Oreochromis niloticus: one gene and its partners. The protein of the gene in region 2 purifies or fractionates together with the protein of the main gene of each other region. This does not show direct contact. Links are inferred from orthologs where the notes say so. Each region holds a gene or a part of one and is shown on either strand. Other genes may lie near its edges.

The links. Proteins that work in one complex are often made in the same cells at the same time.
Region 1: the proteins of pogzb (region 2) and cbx3a purify together in Homo sapiens (affinity purification with mass spectrometry; 7 studies listed by BioGRID and IntAct, with this or other methods). This does not show direct contact. The link is inferred for Oreochromis niloticus from reciprocal best matches to the Homo sapiens genes POGZ and CBX3.
Region 3: the proteins of pogzb (region 2) and cbx5 purify together in Homo sapiens (affinity purification with mass spectrometry; 5 studies listed by BioGRID and IntAct, with this or other methods). This does not show direct contact. The link is inferred for Oreochromis niloticus from reciprocal best matches to the Homo sapiens genes POGZ and CBX5.

The regions. Positions count from the first base shown.
Region 1 is NC_031985.2:25,229,679-25,237,567, forward strand, and holds the start of cbx3a (chromobox protein homolog 3a), read left to right. Parts: upstream 1-4,887; 5' UTR 4,888-5,044; intron 5,045-5,659; exon of another isoform or gene 5,660-5,683; intron 5,684-5,818; 5' UTR 5,819-5,826; coding exon 5,827-5,972; intron 5,973-6,192; coding exon 6,193-6,349; intron 6,350-6,718; coding exon 6,719-6,813; intron 6,814-7,609; coding exon 7,610-7,736; 3' UTR 7,737-7,889. Other genes in the region: nfe2l3 (nuclear factor erythroid 2-related factor 3), read left to right, coding at 905-1,382, 1,504-2,261.
Region 2 is NC_031976.2:38,269,708-38,277,378, forward strand, and holds the start of pogzb (pogo transposable element with ZNF domain), read left to right. Parts: upstream 1-4,651; 5' UTR 4,652-5,045; intron 5,046-6,211; 5' UTR 6,212-6,215; coding exon 6,216-6,330; intron 6,331-6,455; coding exon 6,456-6,536; intron 6,537-7,109; coding exon 7,110-7,348; intron 7,349-7,671. Other genes in the region: retinol dehydrogenase 12, read right to left, coding at 283-421. UniProt on the Homo sapiens protein: Plays a role in mitotic cell cycle progression and is involved in kinetochore assembly and mitotic sister chromatid cohesion.
Region 3 is NC_031984.2:19,129,080-19,136,834, forward strand, and holds the start of cbx5 (chromobox protein homolog 5), read left to right. Parts: upstream 1-4,753; 5' UTR 4,754-4,875; intron 4,876-5,416; 5' UTR 5,417-5,462; coding exon 5,463-5,593; intron 5,594-5,945; coding exon 5,946-6,171; intron 6,172-6,389; coding exon 6,390-6,490; intron 6,491-7,120; coding exon 7,121-7,262; 3' UTR 7,263-7,755. Other genes in the region: nfe2 (transcription factor NF-E2 45 kDa subunit), read left to right, coding at 1-400; hnrnpa1b (heterogeneous nuclear ribonucleoprotein A1), read right to left, coding at 1,917-1,969, 2,053-2,184, 2,268-2,384, 2,475-2,528, 2,607-2,759, 2,851-3,061, 3,146-3,292, 3,405-3,521 and 1 more. UniProt on the Homo sapiens protein: Component of heterochromatin that recognizes and binds histone H3 tails methylated at 'Lys-9' (H3K9me), leading to epigenetic repression. In contrast, it is excluded from chromatin when 'Tyr-41' of histone H3 is phosphorylated (H3Y41ph).

The DNA of each region.
Region 1 (7,889 bases), on a different chromosome or scaffold from region 2:
CTAGCGCAATAAATTTTTTTGCATATGAAACCGGAGGAGTTGTACTTACATCTTATGCCATCAGCTTACCCTAGGTCACGGTTTCCTTCCACATATAGCTTTGCAAAAATTGCTTAAAAAGCACTTGCAGCAACAAAAACATAATATTCCAGAAACACGCTTTGCCGATCTGATCAGTTGTTCAAAACACTTCCTACATTGGAATAGACGTCAGCGCGAACTATTGCATGTCCGCCATTACCTGCCCGAAACCGGAAGTGACATAGTTTTCGCGGAAAAATGTAGTTTTTTACCTTCGGGGCCTTATAAGCCTATACTGGTGTTTTTAAAAATCATGTTTGACTTCATGCTTTTCTGAATAGTTTCTGGGATGCTTAGAACTCAAATTGCACTGCTGGAAATAATTTGTTTTGATGCACATGCTGTTTTTTTGCAAATTTGCATCATAATATTTATTTTCGTTTTTCCTGCAGTATATAAAAATTGGTGTATTTCAAAAATAAAACTATGAAGACACTCAAAATAAATTTCCTTTTTGTTGGAAACTATTTTGTGCAAGTTTTTTGTATTTACAGTATTGAGGAATAAACCTCTTAAATTTCTTTAACTAGAAATATATGTAAAAAAACCAAAAATGATTTTCAATTTTTTGGTAGTTTATTGCACTTTTTTGCAATTTATGTAGTTACTATGGACTTAATGCATACATATTATTAAAGTTTGGGCTATAACGGTTGTATTGATGTATAGTAACTTGAAATGCTCCCAAAAATGGCACTACAGCATGTAAAAATATAAAGATAAACTGTGGTGGACTTGGTTCTATGGTAGGTCTTAAAGGGTTAAGAGGATTTTCAAAGCTTTTGAGAATAAAGTTCGACTAACAGGTCTCTCTAAAATATAGGACTTGGACCCCCTTGTCACTGAGCGTCTGTCAGATCTCGACACTGACATCACCAGCGCCATCAGCCGGAATGTCAGTCTGCATGATGCTATGCTAACCAGTCCTGGAGTGTTTGGGTTGGCATCTGATAGAACTGAGCCCAGGACCACGACCCAACAACAAAGGGCTTTCTTTCGAATGGAATCCACAGGCTCTTTAAACTCAGATGCTTCACCTGGGATGGCTCTAGGTCTTGCTGCACTCCCCTTTGCCTCAGTATGTAACATAACTGGAAATGTGTCATCAAATAGTGCACTGGGTGGCTGCCTAGATGAGGCAGTGTTTGACCAGATCAATCAGCTTGGTTTGGAAGGTCTGGACTCAATTGACAGCAGCCTGATGGACTGTCTGGACAGCATAGACCCACAGGTCCTTGAGGACTTGGAGTCAGACTCTGGTCTCTCCTTGGAGAGCAGCTCTGGAGGTCCAGTCTCTCCAGGTTGGTTCAGATTGCATTCTATACTTGGAAAAGTTGCATGTCTTAATTTCTATGTTTTGTGAAGCTAAGAAATTTTCTGTTAAATATACTGACACAGTCATTAACTCCTCACTTTGTCCAGGCTCATCTGAGATGTCATCCTCATCCAGTTCATACTGCGAGGATGAGTGTGGAGCTACAGGCTACAGCAGTGAGGCAGACTCAATCCCCTCTAAAGGCATTGTTGACTACACCACAACATGGCCACCTGTTGAGAGTGTGTGGCACGACCACAGCTACTCATCTGCCAATTTCTTTAACCAGCCGTCAGTAACGCTGCCTCGCAAAAACATCAAGGAGGAGCCTCTCAGCGATGACGATGGATTTCGGCTGGAAGAAGGGGAGCTGAGTCGTGATGAGCTGCGCGCCCGTGCTATGTGTCTGCCATTCTCTGTCCTGCAGATAGTTAACATGCCTGTTGAAGAGTTCCTGGAAGTTCTTGATGGTCATGGCTTTTCCCCTGAACAGGTGACCCTCCTGAGGGACATCCGCAGGCGTGGTAAGAATAAGCTGGCAGCCCAAAACTGCCGCAAGCGCAAATTAGATGCCATCACTGGGCTCCAGGAGGAGGTGGAAAGGCTGCAAGTTCAAAGAGACAAACTGCTGAGGGAGAAGCACCTTACAGCAAAAACAATGGGTGCTGTGGGCCATCAGATAAGGCAGCTGACCAGAGACATCCTGTCCCGGCTGAGGGATGAATCAGGAACACCCCTGAACCCAGACAGATTCACCCTGCAGTGCGGGGCTAACGGGAGGGTTGTAGTTCAGCCTGTAAGACGACCTGCTGTCTCCACATCTGGCAACAAAACAGACAAGAGAAAGAAGGAAAAAAAGCAATAATGCAGCATTTCCTGCTGAGACTTGACCTTTTCGGTTTTGGGATATTGCGGAACCTAATTGCCTGACTCTGGTTTTAGGGTCTCCTCTTTTGCAAAAGTGTGTGTTGATTCACCACTGTTGAGAACCTAAATTCAAAAAGAAAAGACACTCAAAAAATAAGTAAATGAAAAAAAAAAATGTAAATACATTATTTGATGGGAAAAATGTAGATCACACACTGGACATTCTCTTCTTGTTATAGGTGGATGTGGCCGATGGGGTAGTTTAAGGGAACAGCTAAGCTGTTGGTAATGCCAGCAGTCTCTTTGTGCCTGTTAACATTAAAGTCATAGTCTTTCTCATTTTTACAGAAAATTGTTGGCAATCACACATGTCTAAAAGTCAACTTGGCCAGGATTGTGATATTTACAGACAGGATAGAGATCTAAGAGGAGGATTTACCTGTAATCTTGCCTTTAGTGTTTTCCTACTTGGTATAAGAATGAGGTTAAAGGATTGTATTTATTAAACTTTCTTAGGTCCCTGAAATGCTTATAGAACTGTTAAGGATGTTTTTTTTTCCCTCTCCCAAAATGGTAACCTTTGGTCAGAGTGATAAGAATATTGGGTTATTACAAGTCCAAAGTTTACTGATTTGTTCCCAGTATTTGAGGGCATGCACTGTTTGAGTAAAAAAATTAAACTGAAATTAAAAAAAATGAAATAGATATCTTTTGCTTACATGTCTTGATGACGTGCAGTATACCAATGACTCAAAGGACTTGGCCTTAATTTGCATTTGATGTGTTTTGGTAAATATGTGTGTACATCATACATAAGTGCATATATCCATAACAAAAAAGTTCTTACATAAGAATTCAACTATAATTTAACCCCTTTCATTTGAAGTGTTTTAGAGTTTTTGGCAAGATTATTCTACCTCACAGCTTAGTCTTTGTTAATTTTGGCTACATTAAAAAAAAAAAAGCTCCCACCCCGCTTTTTTTCTTTATTTTTTTTGTCGTTTGAAGTGCACTCGATAACTACGATTCCATTATAAATGTGACCATAATCACACATAAAAGATTCAATTTCTGAAACAGGAAAAATACAATCACCAACTTTATTTAAGAGGTCTGAATGCTGTTTGAATGTGTGTGTTTGTGTTTTTTTTAATATTTATTATCTGAGAGTAGAATCAAGTGGAATTAAAAGTCCGCATCTTATTTATGTGTACACACTTTCAAGTAGTCACCTGAGTGAGTAAACTGAAGAAAGATGCATAAAGTATTTGAACAATGATTAATCTGAAGAACAAGTTGACTGAACTTCCTTTCTTTACAAGTACTTGTGAGATATTTTTAGATTCTCAGGCCCCAGTTTAGTTTTTTTTTTCTGGCTAAAATCTGAAATTCCCTAAAGTGCACTTGTTTAATAAAAATCCTTCATTATCAAAGTCACCCAAATTAAACAAACTGCTAAAAAACCCTAAATAATAAATTACTGATTCATATTTAAGAAGTTTGAATGTTGTTTGGATGCCTCCTTTTTATATGTATAAGATTATTTGACAGTTGAAGTATTAATAGGGATTGCCATCCTGTTCCTGGTTATGCTGCGCAGTAGAGTCAGCTGAGTGAGTGAAATTGAGAAAAGTCCATGAAGTAGTTTATGTGGCTTTCAGTTTTTTTTTCCTTTGTTTGTATTTTTTTGTTTGGTTTGAACCTTTTCTTTGCTGTTTGTATGAATTTCATTTTCGTAAATATTTGCTTTGTTTCTGAAGTTAAATGTGTTTGATTCCATTGTGATTTTTCAAAGTGTGCATTTGCTTACAGAACTTGAGTTGCTCCTGCAGACTTTTTAAAATAAAAAATAAATCTTTTGAAATACTTTTGAATGGCCTTGATTTTAAAATCAACATATAGGAACATATTATGGAAAGAAAATGCAGTCTTAAAACATCAATAGAATTTAGATCAGGGATGTCAAACATAAGGCCAAGGGGCAAAATTGGCCTGGCAAAGGATGCAATCTGAGCCACTGGACAGCTTTTTAAAATGTAAAGGATGGTACACATTTTGGACTTTTTAACTGTATTTCCATGTGTTTTACAGCTTTTCCTAATGATAAAAATCCTACTCCCATCAACATTCACACCAATTTGAGTAAGTCATAGGTAATATTAGATTTCAAAAATACTTAAATGACAGAAACGTTTCTGATTTCTGCAGTGGGTTCACAGTAAATAAATAAATAAGGATACAGTATTATCAATACACAAAACCTTTCTATTTTATAGTTACAGGACAGTCTGGGCAACGAGCAACCTTAACTACACATGCATTTCCTACAATCTAAGCCCAAAGAGTCGTGCTGACTGAGTTCTCCTATTTAATACAGCTTCATTTCTTTATCATGCAAAAATAACTGAGATATACTGTTGAAATTGCACTTCTTTTTCTTATATTAAGATTTTGCGGATATTAAACGTGTAATTAAACCTCTTTACACTGGTCCGGCCCACTTGTAAACAAAACTGGCTGCATGTGGCCCACGATCCAAAATGACTTCGATATCCCTGATGTAAAGTTCTAGGCTTCATTATCTACAGGTTTTGGGGAGCGAAAAGCGTTTTCCAACCGGGCTTCCGTAGATGGTGCACAAGTATGCGCACAAGTATGCGCGTAAGTATGCGCGTCAGTAGCTTTTGGCGCCCGTGCTGTTCAGCCACACTCTTGTAGACATAAAGAATCAACTGACCGCGTGGAAAAGAAGTGCCGTTGAAGCGATTCTCTTGTTTTAGGGTATGTATGCAGATACCGACTTGTTTCAAAAAGGGTTATCATTAACAGAGGTGTCAGAGTTAATTGGTTCACTGTAGCGAAATAGCAGTATATGCTAACCAGTTGTTTTACCATTTGGACGCTGTTTCGAATGAGAGAGAAACGATCTGTTGACTACAGTTGCAGTACTTTAACGTCAACAGGCAAGCGAAAGTAACAGTGTCTGTTCCTCGTTATGCTGTAGTTGTATCCTAGAACTTAACATTATTTATCCGTTTGTAAAACGTCGAGTGTCGCGTTGAAGTTGAGTACGTTGTTGTTAGCGCAAGTTACGTTAACATTACCCGCACGCTTTTTTTGTGCCAGCTCACCTATTTTAAGTCCCTCCGCATTGCAGGTGACACGATAAAAGTGAAGTAGGGTTTCCCTAACGGTTAAAGGCCAGCTAAAGTTAGCATGCGAGCTAACGTTATAAGAATTTGGGTATCTTTGAATACTTTAAGAGTTTATCGCTAAGCTAGCTAATGCTGTGTTTTACTTCCCGTTGGTGGTCGTCCCTTTGTCAAGGTTGCCTAATTTTATTACCCTAATGGGCAAATAACAGTCCTCACACTTAAATTCGTTTACGATCCAGGTGTCTGTGGCGGTGTGGTTTGCCAGGTAGGATGGATTTGCCAGAACAGCGGCTTTAGGGCCTATGGCCAATCCTAAATGTGGATATCAGGAGCACATGAATGTGAAGGATTTGTTAATATCAAACTCTTATCGAATTCCGTTTTTTGTTTGTGTTTTTAGATCACAAAATGGGAAAGAAGCAGAATACCAAGAGTAAGAAGGATACACAGGAAACACAGGAGGAACCTGAAGAATTCGTTGTGGAAAAAGTGCTGGACCAGCGTGTTGTGAATGGGAAAGTAGAATTCTACCTCAAGTGGAAAGGATTTACAGAGTGAGTTGGCTGGGACTCCTGCCCCCCTCCTGCTGAGCTGGAAGTGCTTCCCTGGTATGGGGTTGTGCTATACTTTTGTTTGAAGTCATTGTGGTTGCATGACGACGGTACCTTTATTCAAGCAAGCTAGCTGATGCTAGTATTTGCATTTTTTTTTTTAAAATGGAAATCAGTGTGAATTGGTGCAATGCAAATGTTGACTCTCTTTCTGCTCATTTAGTGCTGATAATACTTGGGAACCAGAGGAGAACCTGGATTGCCCTGAGCTGATTTCAGCATTTTTGGAGGCTCAGAAGAACGTTAAGGAGAAACCTGCGCCTGTTAAGAGGAAGGCCTCCACGGAAGAGCCAGAGACAGAACCTAAGAAGAAAGATGTGGTGAATTTCTTTGCTTTCACACGTTTCTGCAATTAGCATGTCCTAAAGACAATTTCAATTTAGGACAGCAAAGCTTAACACGGGGGCCATTCAGAGAAAAGTTTGCATAACTTAAACAAAAAAGAGCATTATTATAAATGAATGTATTATATACATAATACATACATAGGTATATACATACATAATACATATAATCATATTTGTGCTCAGCTGGATTTGTACATAGACATTTAACTGTGCATTATACTCTTGAAATGCAGCTGCTTCTGAACTTATGCTAGAATATGCAAGGATTTTAAATGAATCAAAATGTGTTGTTTTGTCTTTCCTATCTTATATGGCTACATTCTCTGTTGTAACCACCTACAGGCTGAGAAACCACGTGGCTTTGCTAGGAACCTCGAACCTGAGCGAATCATTGGCGCAACAGACAGTAGTGGGGAGTTGATGTTCTTGATGAAATGGTACATTTTTAAAAATATTTTCTAGATGTTGTAAAGCCCTTTCTTTGGATGGTTGGAAATCTGTGTCCTTGGAAGCAAAATATAATGAAATGAGTGTTAGTTCAAGACCTTAGCGCAGTAATGTTTTGTTAATCTAGTTACTGTGAAGGCAGTGTAATTCATAGGACGGATGTGCATGGTATACAGTGAGTCACTGGTGTTTTATGCTACGAAGATAGACGGCCAGCGAATTCAAAAGTATTGAGTGCTATGATTAATGGATCCTTCACAGTACAAATAATTATCCTGAAATACTGTAATACCAATCAAAGAAAGTTTAAAGTGAAGGAAGTGTAACTGAGTGGAATTACTTGGATAACCATGCATTTTATTTGTGGAAGGGGAGAAAAAAAGTCTTTCTCCCTGTTGGATACACACCAGTCAGCAACTGATGTCCAAGGCTTCAGTTGTTTCCTGCAAGAGGGTTGTGTTTTGTTTTTTTTTGTTTTTTTTTTTTAAATTTATTTATATTTAAGTTGTTGTTTGCATTTGAGGTCTTAAAAATCGGGAACTTCCTTTGTTTCACTAAATTTTTTTTCTTAAACCCTTGAACTTGAATCTCAGTGTCTACACTTCAGTTGCTTTTCACTGCTTAGATTTTGCTACATGGTGTACAGAGCCACAGTTATGAAACTGCCACTGTCTAGTCTGTTCCTGCTGTAAACTTTTCTCAACTTATAAACTTAGTTGATTTCAAGTACATTAACTTATGCTGGCTTTCTATAATGTTCCTCTCTCTCAATCTGCCTTCTTTTAGGAAAGACTCGGATGAGGCAGATTTGGTCCCAGCCCGTGAGGCCAACACCCGCTGTCCTCAGGTGGTCATATCCTTTTATGAGGAGAGACTGACCTGGCATTCCTGTCCAGAGGATGAAGCCCAGTAGTTCTTCTCTGCAACCCATGCAGTTGCCTACATCAACATCGTCAACCTTTTCCTCAGGACTGGATTTCTCCTGACTTGCCTTCTAGGTCTAGCTAAATTAGTCTTTTTGTTGTTGTTTTTTGTTTTGGAAGAAGTTTCAACATTTGCATGGCAG
Region 2 (7,671 bases):
TCTGTGAGAAACTCAGCATTTCTGTTTCTTCATGAACTCTGCGAGGACTGGAACACTGACATTAAACTGCCTAAAACACTTCTACATCAAATCTGACTCCGCATATAAGCTCACAGCAGCAGCGGCTTCAGCTGTGGAACACATCTGGACCCCGAATGCAGAACAACCAAGAATGTATTTGTCCGCATGCAGGTCAATGGCTCTTTGTCTGTATTATTAAATCAGATAATATTTTGGGCTGTAATGTAACACTGTTTGAATTGATGAGAAGTTAAATCTTACAGATCAGCGTGACTCCCAGCAGAGCTCCACATCTCAGCATCAGGCGCCCCTGACTTTCCTCTCCCAGGGCCGGGTGTGAGCTGCCGCCGTCACCGGGCCACGGCAGCACCAGGAAGCCCCCAGAATGTGCAGCTTTCATCCCTGAAGGTCAGAACAGACTGAGAGGGAGCTAAACCAGACGGAGGAAGGAGAGATTAACAGATTAGAGGAGATTATCCAGCACAGAGCTGCTCTGAAATCAGTTCCACGTGCTGGGAAGGAAGGATCACAAGTGCCACCAGGAACCACCACTCTCTGCCATGGGCAGGAAAACTGTTAGTGATGACAGCAACGCCTCCAGCACCAGGACACGGGGGCTCCCCTAGGATGTGCTCTTCACTCTGCTGACCCACGACTGCACACCATCACACAGCTCCAACTCCGTCATCAAGTTTGCAGATGACACAACTGTGGTAGGTCACATCAGCAACAACGATGAGACCTACGACTGGAGTGAAGTTAAACATCTGGCCAAGTGGTGCAGCAGCAACAACAACCTGTCCCCAAACGTGGAGAAGACTAAGGAGATCATCATAGACTTCAGGAGAACTCACACCCTGCACACCCCACTAACCTGCACACTAACTATTGAATCTGGCACTATTAGATTCAATAGAATACATCACAAATTCCATAGACAAAAGGCAATATGTGGCTGGGTTATTCATAGACTTGTCAAAGGCATTTGACACTATAGATCATAATATATTAATAAGAAAACTGGAACGTTGGTGTCAGAGGGGTAGCTTTAGATTGGGTCCAGAGTTATTTAGGTGACAGGAAGCAGTTTGTGAAATTAAATGGTGGTTGTTCCTTATGTATGGACATTGCTTGTGGTGTACCCCAAGGGTCAGTTTTGGGTCCAAAATTCTTCAACTTGTACATTAATGACATCTGTAAAGTGTCCAAAGTATTAAAAATGGTTCTCTTTGCTGACAATACAAACATTTTTTGCTCTGGTGATGATCTGCAGAATTTATTGGAGGATATGACTAATGAAATAAGTAAAGTGAAGTTCTGGCTTGATAAAAACAAATTATCATTAAATTTGAATAAATCTAAACTTATGTTATTTGGAAATAGTAGTTTAAATACAAATGCAAAGATTGAAATAAATGGTGTTGATATTGAAAGAGTCAGTGAAAATAAATTTCTGGGGGTAATAATAGATGAAAAACTTAACTGGAGAGCTCACGTAAGATATATTCATTCCAAAGTATCACGAAGCATTGCAATACTAAACAAGGCAAAGCAGGTATTAGACAGAACATCCCTTCATATTCTCTACTGTTCACTGGTTTCACCATACTTAAGCTATTGTGCAGAGGTCTGGGGCAATAACTATAAAACCACATTACATTCACTTTTTACTCTTCAAAAAAAAGCAATTCGAATCATCCACAATGCAGGTTATAGGGAACATACAAACTCACTATTTTTGCAGTCAGAAATATTGAAAATGGATGATCTAGTGAAATTCCAAACAGCACAAATTCTATTCAAAGCAAAAAATAAAGAACTGCCAGGTAATATTCAGAGTATGTTTTTTTTGAAAGAAGGAAGCTATAATTTAAGGGGTTTTTGTAACTTCAAAACAGGGAAGGTGTGAACTACAAGAAAAGGCTTTTGTGTTTCTGTTCATGGGGTGAAACTATGGAACAGTCTGAATATGGAATTAAAGCAATGTCCAAACATAAAACAGTTCAAAAAGAGTTATAAAAATATGATCTTCTCGAACTATAAAGAAAAGGAAAATATTGAAATTAAGTGAATGTCTCCATTTAAAAAAAAAAAAAAAAAAAAAAATATATAAAAATAAATAACAATTAAAAAAAAAAAAAAAATTCATGATGTAACATTATAGCATAAAGTAGATCAGAAATCTGTTCACTATTTCTATTACAAATTATATCAGTAAGGAAGCTGACTAAATATTAACTGATAATTTATGGCAACGGGGTGGGATTAAATAAGTGTTTACTTCTTCCCACTCCCTTTCAACATGTAAATTAATCAGAATGTTCTTTGGGGGTGTTTTTGTATGTATTTTGTATAGTGTATATATATATATTTTTTTTTTCTCTCTCTCTTACTTTTTTTTCTAAATGTACCTGTATATTGTTCACATGTTGAAATAAAAATTACCAACCAACCATCAACGGTGCTGCTGTGGAGAGGGGAAGCAGCACCAAGTTCCTGGGTGTGCACGTCTCTCCTGGTCAAAGAACACAGCATCGTGGTCAGTAAAGCCCAACAGCGACTCTACCTCCTCCTCAAACTGAGGAGAACGAGAGCCTCAACCCCCACTATGAGCACCTTCTACAGAGGCACCACTGAGGGCATCCTCACCAGCTGCATCACTGTGTGGTGTGGCTGCTGCACTGAGTCTGCAGGAAACAGCTACAACAAGCAGTGAGAGCAGAGGAGAGGATGGTAGGTGCTTCTCTTCCCTCCCTCCAGGACATCTACTGCACCCGCCTCACCCGGAAAGCCCTCTGCATCACAGGTGACTACACCCATCCGTCCAACAGCTTCTTCAGTTTGCTGCCATCAGGAAGGAGACTGAAGAGCCTCGGGGCCAGAACCAGCAGACTGAGAGACAGCTTCGTCCATCAGGCTGTCAGGATGCTGAACTCTCTCCCTGCTCTGTCCCTGTCAACCAGACCTGCACCCACGTCTTCCCTCTGACCCCACAGTGCCCACAAACACTCAGACTGTGTTGGACAGTGTTGTGTGTATAAGACTTTTATCTTTTATGTTGTTTAGTGTAACACTGAGGGCCGTGGGAGCCCTGCAGTTTCAAATTCCTGTGTATGATCTGTACATGTAGTTTTTGACAATAACGCTGACTTTGATGACGCTCTGCTCTTTGGTAAACAATAAAATGAAATAAAATTACAATAAAATCGCTAGATAAGACATATAACAGTCCTGCTCTCAGCTCAAGCTTCATCCCCTGGTGAGGTCTTCATTGGATCCGCTGCAGTTTGCTTGCCTGGCATCGGGGTGGAGGACGCCATCATCTACCTCCTGCAACGAGCTCCGACTCACCTGGAGAAGCCTGGAAGCACTGTGAGGATCATGTTCTTTGATTTCTCCAGTGCTTCTCTGACCGGTGAACATCCAGGGAGTGGACATTGAGATAGTGGACTCTTATAGGTACCTGGGTGTTCACCTGAATAATAAACTGGACTGGAGCCACAACACTGATGCTCTTTACAGGAAGGGTCAGAGCAGACTCTACCTGCTGAGGTGGCTGAGGTCATTTGGAGTACAGGGAGCGCTTCTAAAGATCTTCTATGACTCTGTGGTGGCATCCATCATTTTTTACAGTGTTGTATGTTGGAGCAGCAGTTTATCGGCAGCTGAGAGGAAGAGGTTGGATAAACTCATCAGGAAGGCCAGCTCTGTTCTGGGATGCACCCTGGACCCAGTGCAGGTGGTGGGAGACAGAAGGACTCTGGCCAAAATAACATCTCTGATGGACAGAGTCTCCCACCCCATGCATGGAAATGTTGCTGAACTGCAGAGCTCCTTCAGTGACAGACTGCTGCATCCTCGATGCATGGAGGAGCGTTTCCGCAGGTCCTTCCTCCCTGCAGCTGTCAGACTGTACAACAAAACTGCTCCCAACAAACAAAATGTTCACATCAGCGCTGTAACTTGCACTATTTTATCAACTGATTCACACTACAACCTGGGTTTGCCTCTTATCTGTATTTAATTTAATAACTGTACAGTACTCTGTTTTTGGTAACTATTGTCCGTGATGTAAATATGTAAAAAATTGTGTATGTTTCTGTTCTGTTCTTGTGTACTGTTTGTTTGTATATGTGTCTTTCTTGCTGCTGTTACATCCAAATTTCCCCTTGTGGGACAATTAAAGGATTATTCTATTCTATTCTATTCTATCTGCTCTGTCCAGTAAACTGTACTAACCAAAGTCAAATTTATATGTCTCCAGATCCACACTCAGCACTCTGTGGGTGTTTATTTTAGAGACCACGGGGGCCCAAACTGTATGTTATATTTATATGTAACGCAGGTGCCAGGGTGTAGTTATTTTATGAAACCTTCTCTGTGCTCTAAACTGAAAATGATTTAGAAAATACACATTTTAGATTTACGTTATTTGTCCGGAGACGCTCTGGAAAACTTCTGGTTCATTATGACATCACAGCGTGTCACAGGAAGTTCAGTGGGCGTGCCACTGTGTGGAGACCTGCAGCTGAAAGGTGTGCCTCACCTGTGTGAGTTACTTTTCTCTGAAGCACAAATACCAGAAAAAAAAACTTGTTTTTATTTATTTTTTTAATGTATTTTACTACGCGCTTTTTCAGCTCGTGACGTCACGGATATTATTCACGCCCCATCAAAACAAAACAAAAAGAAGATGGCGCCCTGGCCCGAGCGTGGCGGCGGTACTGGCTCCTGTCGGCCTCCCCGCTGACCGGCCGCGGTGCCGGCTGACCCCTGGCCCGGGCCTCCGGGTCTGCCCGCCTCCAGCCTGAGAGCAGCGGCTCGGCTCAGCGCCTCCACAAAGATCCCACTGACCAATGAGCTGCAGGGACGCCTGAACAGGAAGTGATGTATCTGTGCGGCCCAATCGGCGGTTGTAAAAAGGCAGCGGGCGGAAGGCCCGCCCCCTGACTGTCGAACCGGAGCGCGCCTCGAGAAGAGCCGTGCGAACCCGTCCGAACTCCGTGGTGCCGCTCCAGCTTCAGGTAAGCCCGGCCCGGCTCGGCTCGGCTCGTCCCAGTGTCACACGCAGGCCCCGCTGAAGCTTTCGGGAGGCGCTCGGTGTGCAGCGGCGAGCTACCGCTGGTGGGGCGGTGCAGACTGAGTGCGCGCAGTGCGTGCTGAGCTCGTGCTGAGCTCGAGAGCCCGGTGACCCGGCTCGGCTCAGCTGGGCCCGCACGGTCTGTAGGTTCGGGTCCCCGCCAACAGGCGCGTCTCAGCCGGGTTCAAAGGAACAAAACCCGGAGAGCGGGCGGAGCGCCCCCTGCGGCGGGAGCTGCCATTACACCTGCAAACTACAACTGATTGAATCCAACTTTATTTAAAAAGATTTACCGACATCAGAGTTTGTACAGAGCTGCTGTTGTTTAACTTCACCGTCAGCTGAGCGAATGAAGGCCAGCGTTTATTAATCATACCACTACTTTATTTAAAATAAGAGCCGTGACAAAGAGACGGAGTACAAACGGCAGCAACAGAAAACATCGAAACGTCACAGTGACCGGAAGTCTGTCCACACTAACGCCACTGCCGTGATTGTGCGCGTGATGAGCGGGGTCAGGTCATCCTGATCAGTGTGTTAGGCAAGCGCAGGTGTTTGACTGAAACTGCACAGATGTCCTCATTTGAATCATAAATGTTTTAAATAAACCGACTTCTACTTAAACCGGGACTAAACTGAACAGCTGTGAGGTTCACTGACACAAACACGCCCTGTGAGTCTGTGATGCTGATTAGCATCAAACCTGATGGGACCCATCCTCAGGCTGTGAACACACCACAGAGTATTTCAGCTGATTTGTTCTGTGTGCGGTCTGTCCCTTCAGTCTTTGTAGTTTATAGTTTGCTGTCACTGCGGTAACGCTGAGAGGCGACTCCGCCTTTCTCTCATTGGTCTTTGAGCTCATAGGTGTTCTCTGAAACTAAACACACTTGAATATTTACAGTTAAAGTTACCAGTGAAAAGATCACCTGCTCACCTGGCTCTCAGGTAAGCTGCAGGTATGCAGTACCAGGTGGGACTTTAATTTGACAAAGCCCTGCCCCTTTTAAACATTTGATCGTGAATGTCATGTGATGTAGTGGAAATGTTGCTGGTCAGATTTTTCTTTCATCTTGTTTACAATGATGGTTTCTCTGGTGGTTTCCATAGCAACATGGATACAGAGTTGTTTATGGAGTGTGAGGAGGAGGAGCTGGAGCCATGGCAACAGGTGGATGACAGTGTGGAGGAAGATGACATGGACTTCATGGACAACTATGGAGAGCCAGGTGAGTCTCAGAACCAGATCCTGGACCAGGTCCAAACTCTAAAACCAGTTCTGGACACTCTGGACCTGAACCTGAACCCAAACCCTAAAACCAGACTCTCTCTCTCTCTCTCTCTCTCCATGTAGTGGAGGATTCTCCGTCTCCTCTCCCAGTCTCTGAGACTCCACCTCCAAGGACCTCACCACCCATCACACCTGCTGCAACAGGTATGTGTTCAGTGTTTCTTTGAATACCTGATGACACCAACCGGAGCCCCAGACATCCAGAAGTCCTAAACTGAGTTTGGATGATCCCAAAGCACACAGACGGCGTTTTCACTCGGATGCTTTGATCTTTGATCAGTTGTGTTACTGTAGACTCTTTAACTTACAGGATGACTGTTGAGTGTGTGATTTAGCACAAGATAAATAAAGCTGAGTTTACAGGTATCATCAGGTTCAGGTGTTGAGCGTGGCCGCTCTCTGTCTGATGTTCATGTGTCAGAGCAGCAGAGCTAACACATTGTGGAGGAAAGGGTCAGCAGGTCAAAGGTGAAAGCAGCAGACCTCTTCTCTGGGACAGGCAGAGCTTCAGCAGCTTTGTTGGAGAACTAAACATGACGATGTCTGAAGCTCGTGTTAAAGCTGAAGCTGATCCTGGAACAGCCTAAAGCGGCAGAGACGCAGTGCTGTGTGCTGAAGGTGTTCCTGGGATGTGGAGGAGCAGTCTGTGCTTCTGCTTCCCTCTGTAAAATCTGAAAGAAAGAAAGAAAATCTGCTAACCGATTCTTTCTTCTTCAGCTTCATCACCTGCCCAGGTCGTGTCCTCTTCCTCTGTGATACCTCCCCCTCCTCCCTCTATCGTTACCACCTCCTCCTCTGCCCCGCGGCTCCCTCCCTCCGCGGTTGCCTCCACGGCCCCGCCCCTGATGGCTCAAGCTCCACCACTCATCCTGACTCAGACAGCGGGTGGAACATTTCTACTTCCAGCAGCCACCGGCACCGGCAGCAGCCAGCCCATCCTGCTCACCACTACGCAGGTATGGAAATCAAACGCACCCTGTGCTGCAGCAGGTCAGCCAAACCAAACGCTCCTCTGTAAAGTTACTATAACGTGAGAGTAAAGTGTAACATAACATGAAACGTACATGTGTACTATAACATAATAAATTAAACCATGAATAATAATCCAGAGTTTAGGCTCTGCCCTTTAAAGCCTGACTGCAGCGTTTTAAAGGGCGGAGGAGTGATTTAGTGTTTTGCTCACGATTACTTTAAATCATGATCTTCGTTATTTTGTAAGCCACTCCCTGCTGTTCAGCTGGACCAAGGGCCGGTGTCCTGCTGGTTGTGGATGTGTCCT
Region 3 (7,755 bases), on a different chromosome or scaffold from region 2:
GATTATCAATCTACCTGTCGATGACTTCAATGAGCTCCTGACACAGTATACTCTGACAGATGCTCAACTAGCACTGGTCAGAGACATTAGACGAAGGGGGAAGAACAAGGTCGCAGCTCAAAACTGCAGGAAGAGGAAGCTCGAGAGCATAATTCACCTTGAAAGGGAACTGAATCAGCTGCAGGCCCAAAGGGAACACCTGGCACAAGAAAGGCTAGAGTTCCAGCGCAGCTTGGCATTCATTAAATGTCGTCTTACAGATCTTTACACGCAAGTATTTTCTCATTTACGAGATGAAGATGGACAACCATACTCGATAGATGAATATTCTCTACAGCAGACACCCGATGGTAAAATTTATCTGGTACCTCACACAATGCAGAAGAGAGAGCAATGCTGAAGAACTGGGTATAATTTCTTTACTCTGGAGAACATTCTACCCGATTGTGCCACTTTGACTGATTCATGCAGGAAGTTGTCAAAAGAATCATGTTAAGCTTCATAAATGTATAAATGGACACTTTTCATGTTCAGTTAATGAATGAAACCAGAGATTTGTTTTTATACAAACACTTTATTAAAAAAAGTTTATAAAAAATTAAAACTGCACAGCAGTCTTCTTAAAATATTTTGAGCACCAGCATGAATTTTCAGCCAACCTGTGGGGAGAAGGGAAAACCATATTAATTCAAATTTAAAAAAACTAAAAATACAAACAAGTAATGATTTTTACCTGTCAAAAACCATTGTCACAGAAATGAAGCCAGGTTTTGGGGTCCATGTAGTTACCTACAAAGGAGAAATACTATAAATAAAACAATAACCCAAAAATATAAAATATTTGCTCATTTCATAGCATGCAGTATGTTGGGCCTCAATGCACAATTGGAGGCCAAATTAAGTCAAAAAGTAGAATGGTCATAAAACTTAATTATTACTGGGCTACATATCTCACTACCAGCTACATGACAAAATGCAAGATATACCATCAGTAGTTGAGAAGTCTGGTCTTACCTACAAACAGCACTTAAGCCTTTTGGTAGCTGCTGCCTGCTAGACTCAGGCCTCTGTTCTCACTCTCCCCTGCTTCAATGATCCTGGCGATGGTTTTGCTACTTCTCTCCCTCAGCTTGCTTCCATGGCTAGCCTCATAGACTTTGCATGTAAGCTAGCATTCTCCAGGTGATCTTTGCAGAAATCAGGGCAGAGCTTGTACCAAAGTGATGGGCTTTCTGATGATGGCATTTGCGCACCATTTCTTTGCCCGCCCCTTAACCAGTATTGCATATGCGCTGACCTGAGGCAGCATGTAGGAGACACGGATATTGACTTTCCCCGGCCACCTTGTGATGTATATGGCTCGACCCATTTTCACCTAATAGTAAACCCTCCCTTTCCCAAAACCACTGAAAAGGCTAACGAGACTGTTAAAAAAACTGAAAGGTGTTTATTTCAGCTTGATTTGATGCAGTTACAAATAAAAACCAGACTTAAAGATCTACACAAAACCTCATTGGAATGCTTGCTTTCCATTAACACAATTGACGAAAAAAAAGAGAAAAACATAACACAAAATGTTTAAATGAAGGCCCTCCATGATTTATCTACTGTACATCTCTTCTTGCAGCAGCTGTAACCTGCCACAACTCATAGGCTGAGCAGATTTAGGAGGTAAACCTGCAGTTGCCCTGTCACTTCGCTTGCTCTCCTCTCCTTGCTCTCCTCTCCTAAGTACTCAGTCCTGTTGAACAATACGGAACAACATTGTTAACTGTGCACTGACTTTGTGACCTGACATCCAGAGTGAATTTGTTTAAAGGTTATCTGCACTCAATGATTCCCTGCTCACCACAAGCTGTTGTTTTACATTAAAAGACTCTTAAGGCATGCTCTCAAGCTCTTACCACTTTCTCATTTTAAAATCGTCCTGGACGTCCATAGCCACTGTTGTTTGAGCCTCCGTATCCACCTGGAAGCAAAAAACAAAGTATAAACCTACACGAGGCCAGCGTACAATAAACGCATTTACTTGTGAAGTCTGGGAACTCATACCAAAGTTCCTGCCGCCGCCGCCGCCACCAAAGTTGCCCTTCATGGGGCCAAAGTTAGAGGCCTGGGGGTCGTAGTGGCCCATGTTGTTGTAGTTATTGCCGCCACCGCCGCCTCCACCACCACCACAATTGCCTGCGATTACAGAGTTTATAACATTGGTCAACCTCGAGCAAGTTCTAGTTCTAGTAAAAGGCAGTGAAATGGCATTATCTTACCATAACCATTGCTGTCATAACCATTTCCTCCATATCCACCACCCTGGTTGTAGCCCTGGTTGTAACCACGGTTACCTCCATTATAGCCACCAGGACCACCAGGTCCGCCTCCATAGCCTAAATATATAAGACAGCCTTAAAATATACTGTAGAGTTTAAAAAAAAAAAAGCAAAGAAAATAGGAAGACACAACAAAACCATGCTCACCACCATCACTTCCGTTGCAATTGTAAGGACCATCTCCATATCGCCCTCTGCCACCTAAATAGGATAAACACAAGGTTTGCTATCACATAGTATAACAATCAATCACTCCACCATCAACAAAATAAGCCATACCTTGATTGAAGCCCCTGTCGTAATCGTAGGGCCTGCCACCAGTGTTGCGACCTCCTCTCATTCCCATACCCATTCCCGCACTCTGCATTTCCTGCTTTGTGAGGGCCTTCCTCACCTCACAGTTGTGAGAGTTGATAGTGTGGTATTTCTGGACTGTGGAAAGCGATTTTTTGTAAACAAGCTAGCCAACAATCAAAATTCTGACAAAACATGCAGCTAGGGAAAAGTCAACTTCTGTACTTACTGACAATCCTATCAACTGAATCGTGGTCATCAAACGTAACAAAGGCAAAGCCCCTCTTCTTCCCAGTGTTGCGGTCAGTCATGATATCAATGACTTCTATTTTGCCAAACTGCTGGAAATAATCCCTCAGGTGTGACTCCTCTGTATCTTCTTTGATGCCTCCAACAAAGATCTTTTTCACAGTTATGTGGGCTCCTGGCCGGTTTGAGTCCTGGAATCAAAGATATTTGTTATTGTAATCACTATGCGCCTTTTGAATGCAAGAACAATTGCACCTCATCCAGTTGTTACACACCTCCCTGGAAACCGCTCGTTTCGGCTCTACCACTCTTCCATCGACCTTATGGGGACGGGCTGACATGGCAGCATCAACTTCCTGCACTGATGAATATGTTACAAAGCCAAAACCCCTGGATCGCTTGCTGTTGGGGTCCCTCATGACCTGAAAGAAGAGTGCTTTTGGATCAGCTCATACACAGGGTACCAACATGCTCTACATTCTTGCAAAATCGTGACTGCTCAAACAAGACTACATCCTTAATGAAACGACTTACCACGCAGTCTGTAAGGGTCCCCCATTGCTCAAAATGAGCACGCAGGCTTTCGTCTGTCGTCTCGAAGCTCAAGCCTCCGATGAACAGCTTGCGGAGCTGCTCCGGCTCACGTGGGACCTATACAACAGAAAGCAATGCGATAACATCTGATTAGCTGCTCCAATGTCGGCTTTAATGTAATACCACAATCACTTTAAATCGGGTAGTAATTAACGCTGTTCACCGTGTACATACATCCTTCCCTGCGCCCCTTATTAAAATTCAGGGCGTGTGGAGGAGGGACACACCGCCGCCATTAACGTTAGCAAAACCGCTGGAAGACCAGCGAATAGGTCAAGTTTTAGAAGTAGTTATAGATCAGAGTCGGTCGTGATTTAAATGCCTGTAGCATTTAAGCGCAATTTTCCATCGTAAATGTTGATTTAAAGTCCTAAATTTCCACTGCAGCTCATCTGCAAGAACAAAAGGCCACGAGGCCTGGCTGCTATAAAATGGCGGCGTTACAATGCAGGAAAGCTACTGCAGCTACGACCCAAACCGGAGACTGTACTAAGAATAAAAAGCATGCAGCAACTTCATATCCTACCTTCCCTAACATAAAACAACGTATACAATAACAGATAAGTACTCCCGAGCCCAGTACTCACACTCTCTCTCGACATGTTGCAGCTTTAGTCTTGAAGACGTGTTGTGTAACAAGCGAAGAGCCGAGATCTGCGTCAGACGAGTGTAGCCTGCTAGTCAACAGTACAATAAATAGCAACGGTAACGCCCCTGTCGCACAGCAATTGGACAGCTATTCCCGCTGCAGTTTGTCGTCCGCAGTGATTCGATCTTGATTGGGCTATGTAGAATCAATCATTACCAGCGTCCAATCACCTGGTGTACAATGACGACAATGAAAAAATGGATTATGGTTGTTGTATGTGAAAGGGAAAACTTCAAGAAGGTATCGTGTCTATCGTGTATAACGCCTTTAAGTCAGTAAGCATACAGTCTGCACAGCTCGGTAAGTTATTTTCCTGGAAAACACAAGGAAGACGGGCATTTTCTTCAGATTAAACATCATACGAACCGTAAATGATTCTGTTTTCGATTTGTGGGCGGAAGCACAGCTGCCTTGTACAGCAATAGCCCTACCTCCCACATTAACATACACACCTTATCAAAGAAAAAATATTTTCTATACAGAGTGTGCACGTATTAATACAAAAAATATTCCAAATTGTTACAGAATAAACTTAAAAACATGGTAGAAGCACATTCAACCACTTTATCTGTTGATCATCAGCTGACCGAGGGGCGGGGTCAGTTATTGTGCGCTTTTAACGCGCGCTTTTTTTTTTTGCGCACAGCACCTTTTGTGTGTGTGTGAGGCTAGCTGTTAAAGTAGCTGAAAGGTTGGCCTCGCTGCTCGTCCACAAAGACAGGGTTTGACGGGTACAGATCGACGGTTGGAACCTCCAGAAGAGTAAGACACTATTCTTGCAATGTCGAGTTTCATGGTGCTGTAGATATGGGCGCATGGTTTGATAGCATAGTTGTTTAGCTCGATTTAGCGGTTGCTTGCAGGCTACCTGCTGTAGCAAGTTTTCCTTTGCTTTGCTGCTAGCACCGTTCAGCTAGTAGCCGTCGTCCTTGCTACTTGCACGTTTTAGTAGTAACAGTGACCGACTTTTCACCGTTTTAACGAGTAGATGGCGATCAGGATGTTTAGCTGCACTGTTTAGTTGGCCTTTTTAACGTTCCATGTTGCAATTAAACAAGCGATGACGATATTATGCCTCTCGCTGAAATATGATAGCCATCTTGCTAGCGGCGGCTAATTAGCTAATGTTAAAGTGTTACCGATCTGTAACTTGTGGATGCTTTGCGATTGTGATGTGGCTGTGTAGCCATTATTATTATTATTATTATTTTTAAAATGATGCGTTTTTATTAACTAGAACTAGTGGGAGAGCGATCAAAACTCAAATATCTTTAACGTGAGCTTCTCCGTTCTTTCTAAACAGGGAAGTGTCACCTGCAACCGCGTTGTGTTAAGCACCAAACTTTACCATGGGCAAAAAGTCTCGCGGAGAAGAGTCTTCATCCTCTGATGAGGAAGAATATGTTGTGGAAAAAGTGCTGGACAGGAGGGTGGTGAAAGGAAGGGTTGAATTCTTCCTAAAGTGGAAGGGATACTCGGAGTAAGTAATTAAATAAATGTACTCACCACGGTCCTAAGCTCCATAGTCAAAACTCTTTTGCATCTTTATTAAAATTAAATGTTGTAAACAGTTGGTCACATTTTGGAGTAGGTTATTGGAGATTTCTAAAACCTAACACTCGGGTACAAGATGCACCCAGTGCACAACAGAACAGCTCTCTTAGACACAGATGCTCTGCCATCTAAAGGACAGTAATGACCACGGAAGTACCATTAGATTACAATGTTTTAAACATTGCAAGATCTCAAATTTTTTAGCATATCTTGCAGTTTCCAATCCGAACTGGTGCATTAAGGCTGCACTGAGTTTTCTACTCTGTGCTCTTTCTCAGCAAGCACAACACATGGGAACCAGAGAAAAACTTGGATTGCCCTGAGCTTATTGCAGAATTCATGAAGACCTACAAGAAAAGCAGTGGTGGGACCTCCACACCAAGCAGTGGGGCCAGCAAATCAAACACGGCGTCCTCTGGACGCGCCAAAGATTCCAGCAGCTCAAAGAAGAGGAGCTCTGACGATGACGAGGAAGGTGGAAGTAAGCCCAAGAAGAAAAAAGAGGTAAGAACTATTTTTTGCTGCAGAAGCAGGATGTCTATATCTTGAAATGTGCCGCATTTAGCTTCCTTTTCTTTTACTTGACATTTAGGTAGCACAACGCATTTATATCTAAAGTGTGTGGAAACTGAAACTGTTTACATTTAAAGACAGCTGGTGTAAATTCAAGAGTTTAATACAAAATCCAGATTTCTAAAGTAATTTTGTTTGGGGTCTTTCAGGATGACATTCTTGTCGCACGCGGTTTTGAGAGAGGACTTGAGCCGGAGAAGATCATTGGAGCAACAGACTCATGTGGAGACCTCATGTTTCTTATGAAGTGGTAGGTTCTGAAAGTCTTGATTTAATTTTGCCTTTAGTTTTTGTGTGAAATCGATCAATAAATGCATCTAATGGTAGAAATCTTCTTACATGCACAACCATACAGATGACCTTTTGCCCCAGATTCAGGCAGTTCTTCTACTATATGCAGCTGTACTGACATAATTCTTTTTAAAGGACAGCTCTTACACTCTGATATTTCTATTTGTAAATTGCCTTTAGCAGCATTTATAGCTTAGCTGGCCTATGTTTAACCACACCATAAAGCTTTATGTAATTGCATATTATCTTGAGGGATTAAATGTAGTACATTGTTGCTCATGCTTGGTTGAGCCCCATTTAAGGGTTAATATCAGATAATAGTTGTAGTAATGTTTAATTTATCACAGAAACCTGCACAGTCCATTTTTTTTTTTTTTAAATTGTTTTAAGTTATAATTTTAATAATAACTTGCAGCAGATTAAATTTAAATGCACTCCATGTAATTACTGTAATGTGTGAAATCTTTTGCTACATTTTAACAAGTTGGACCAAATTTGCATGCTGCAAGTGTTATGAAAATGGAGATATTATATCTTGGTTGTGCAAAGACACAAACCCAAGCGGTGATTTTAAACTTTCTCTTTTCAGGAAAGACTCTGATGAGGCTGATCTCGTTCTCGCCAAGGAGGCCAATCATAAGTGCCCACAGATTGTCATAGCCTTCTATGAGGAACGTCTCACCTGGCATGAAGACAGTGACAAGAAGGAGAAGGATGCTGTCAGTGCGTGAGTGTATCGCCTCAGGAGAAAACGGGACCTCTTCACTGCAGGGACAACCTTGAGTCAGACATTTTTCACATCCTAAACTCCCAACCTTCAATTTTTACCATGTCCAGCAATGACACACACAAATTTTGGACACTGTGTTATCTCCATCCAAGCCTCATTGGAGCACACGGGCCCAGACTACTAAAAAGGATCCATCATTCAGGAGGAGAAGCTGTAGATGACATGGGTGATATGCTACTGGGGAGAGTTTATACTATTCTGTCTTTGTATTCTTTACCTTCTTTTAAAATAAAAAAAAATAAATATTTTAACACATTCTTTTAGTGCTTACAGGATACGATTATGTTAGTGTTGAAAATCAGAGTTGGTACAGGCTGTGTTAACACCGAGTGTGTTCCATTGTGGGTTCACAACTTTTAATTTGCTATAAACGGTGTACCTCTTCTTTTTAAGAACCCAGCTGACACCACAAGGATGAAATGGTTTTTTTATTG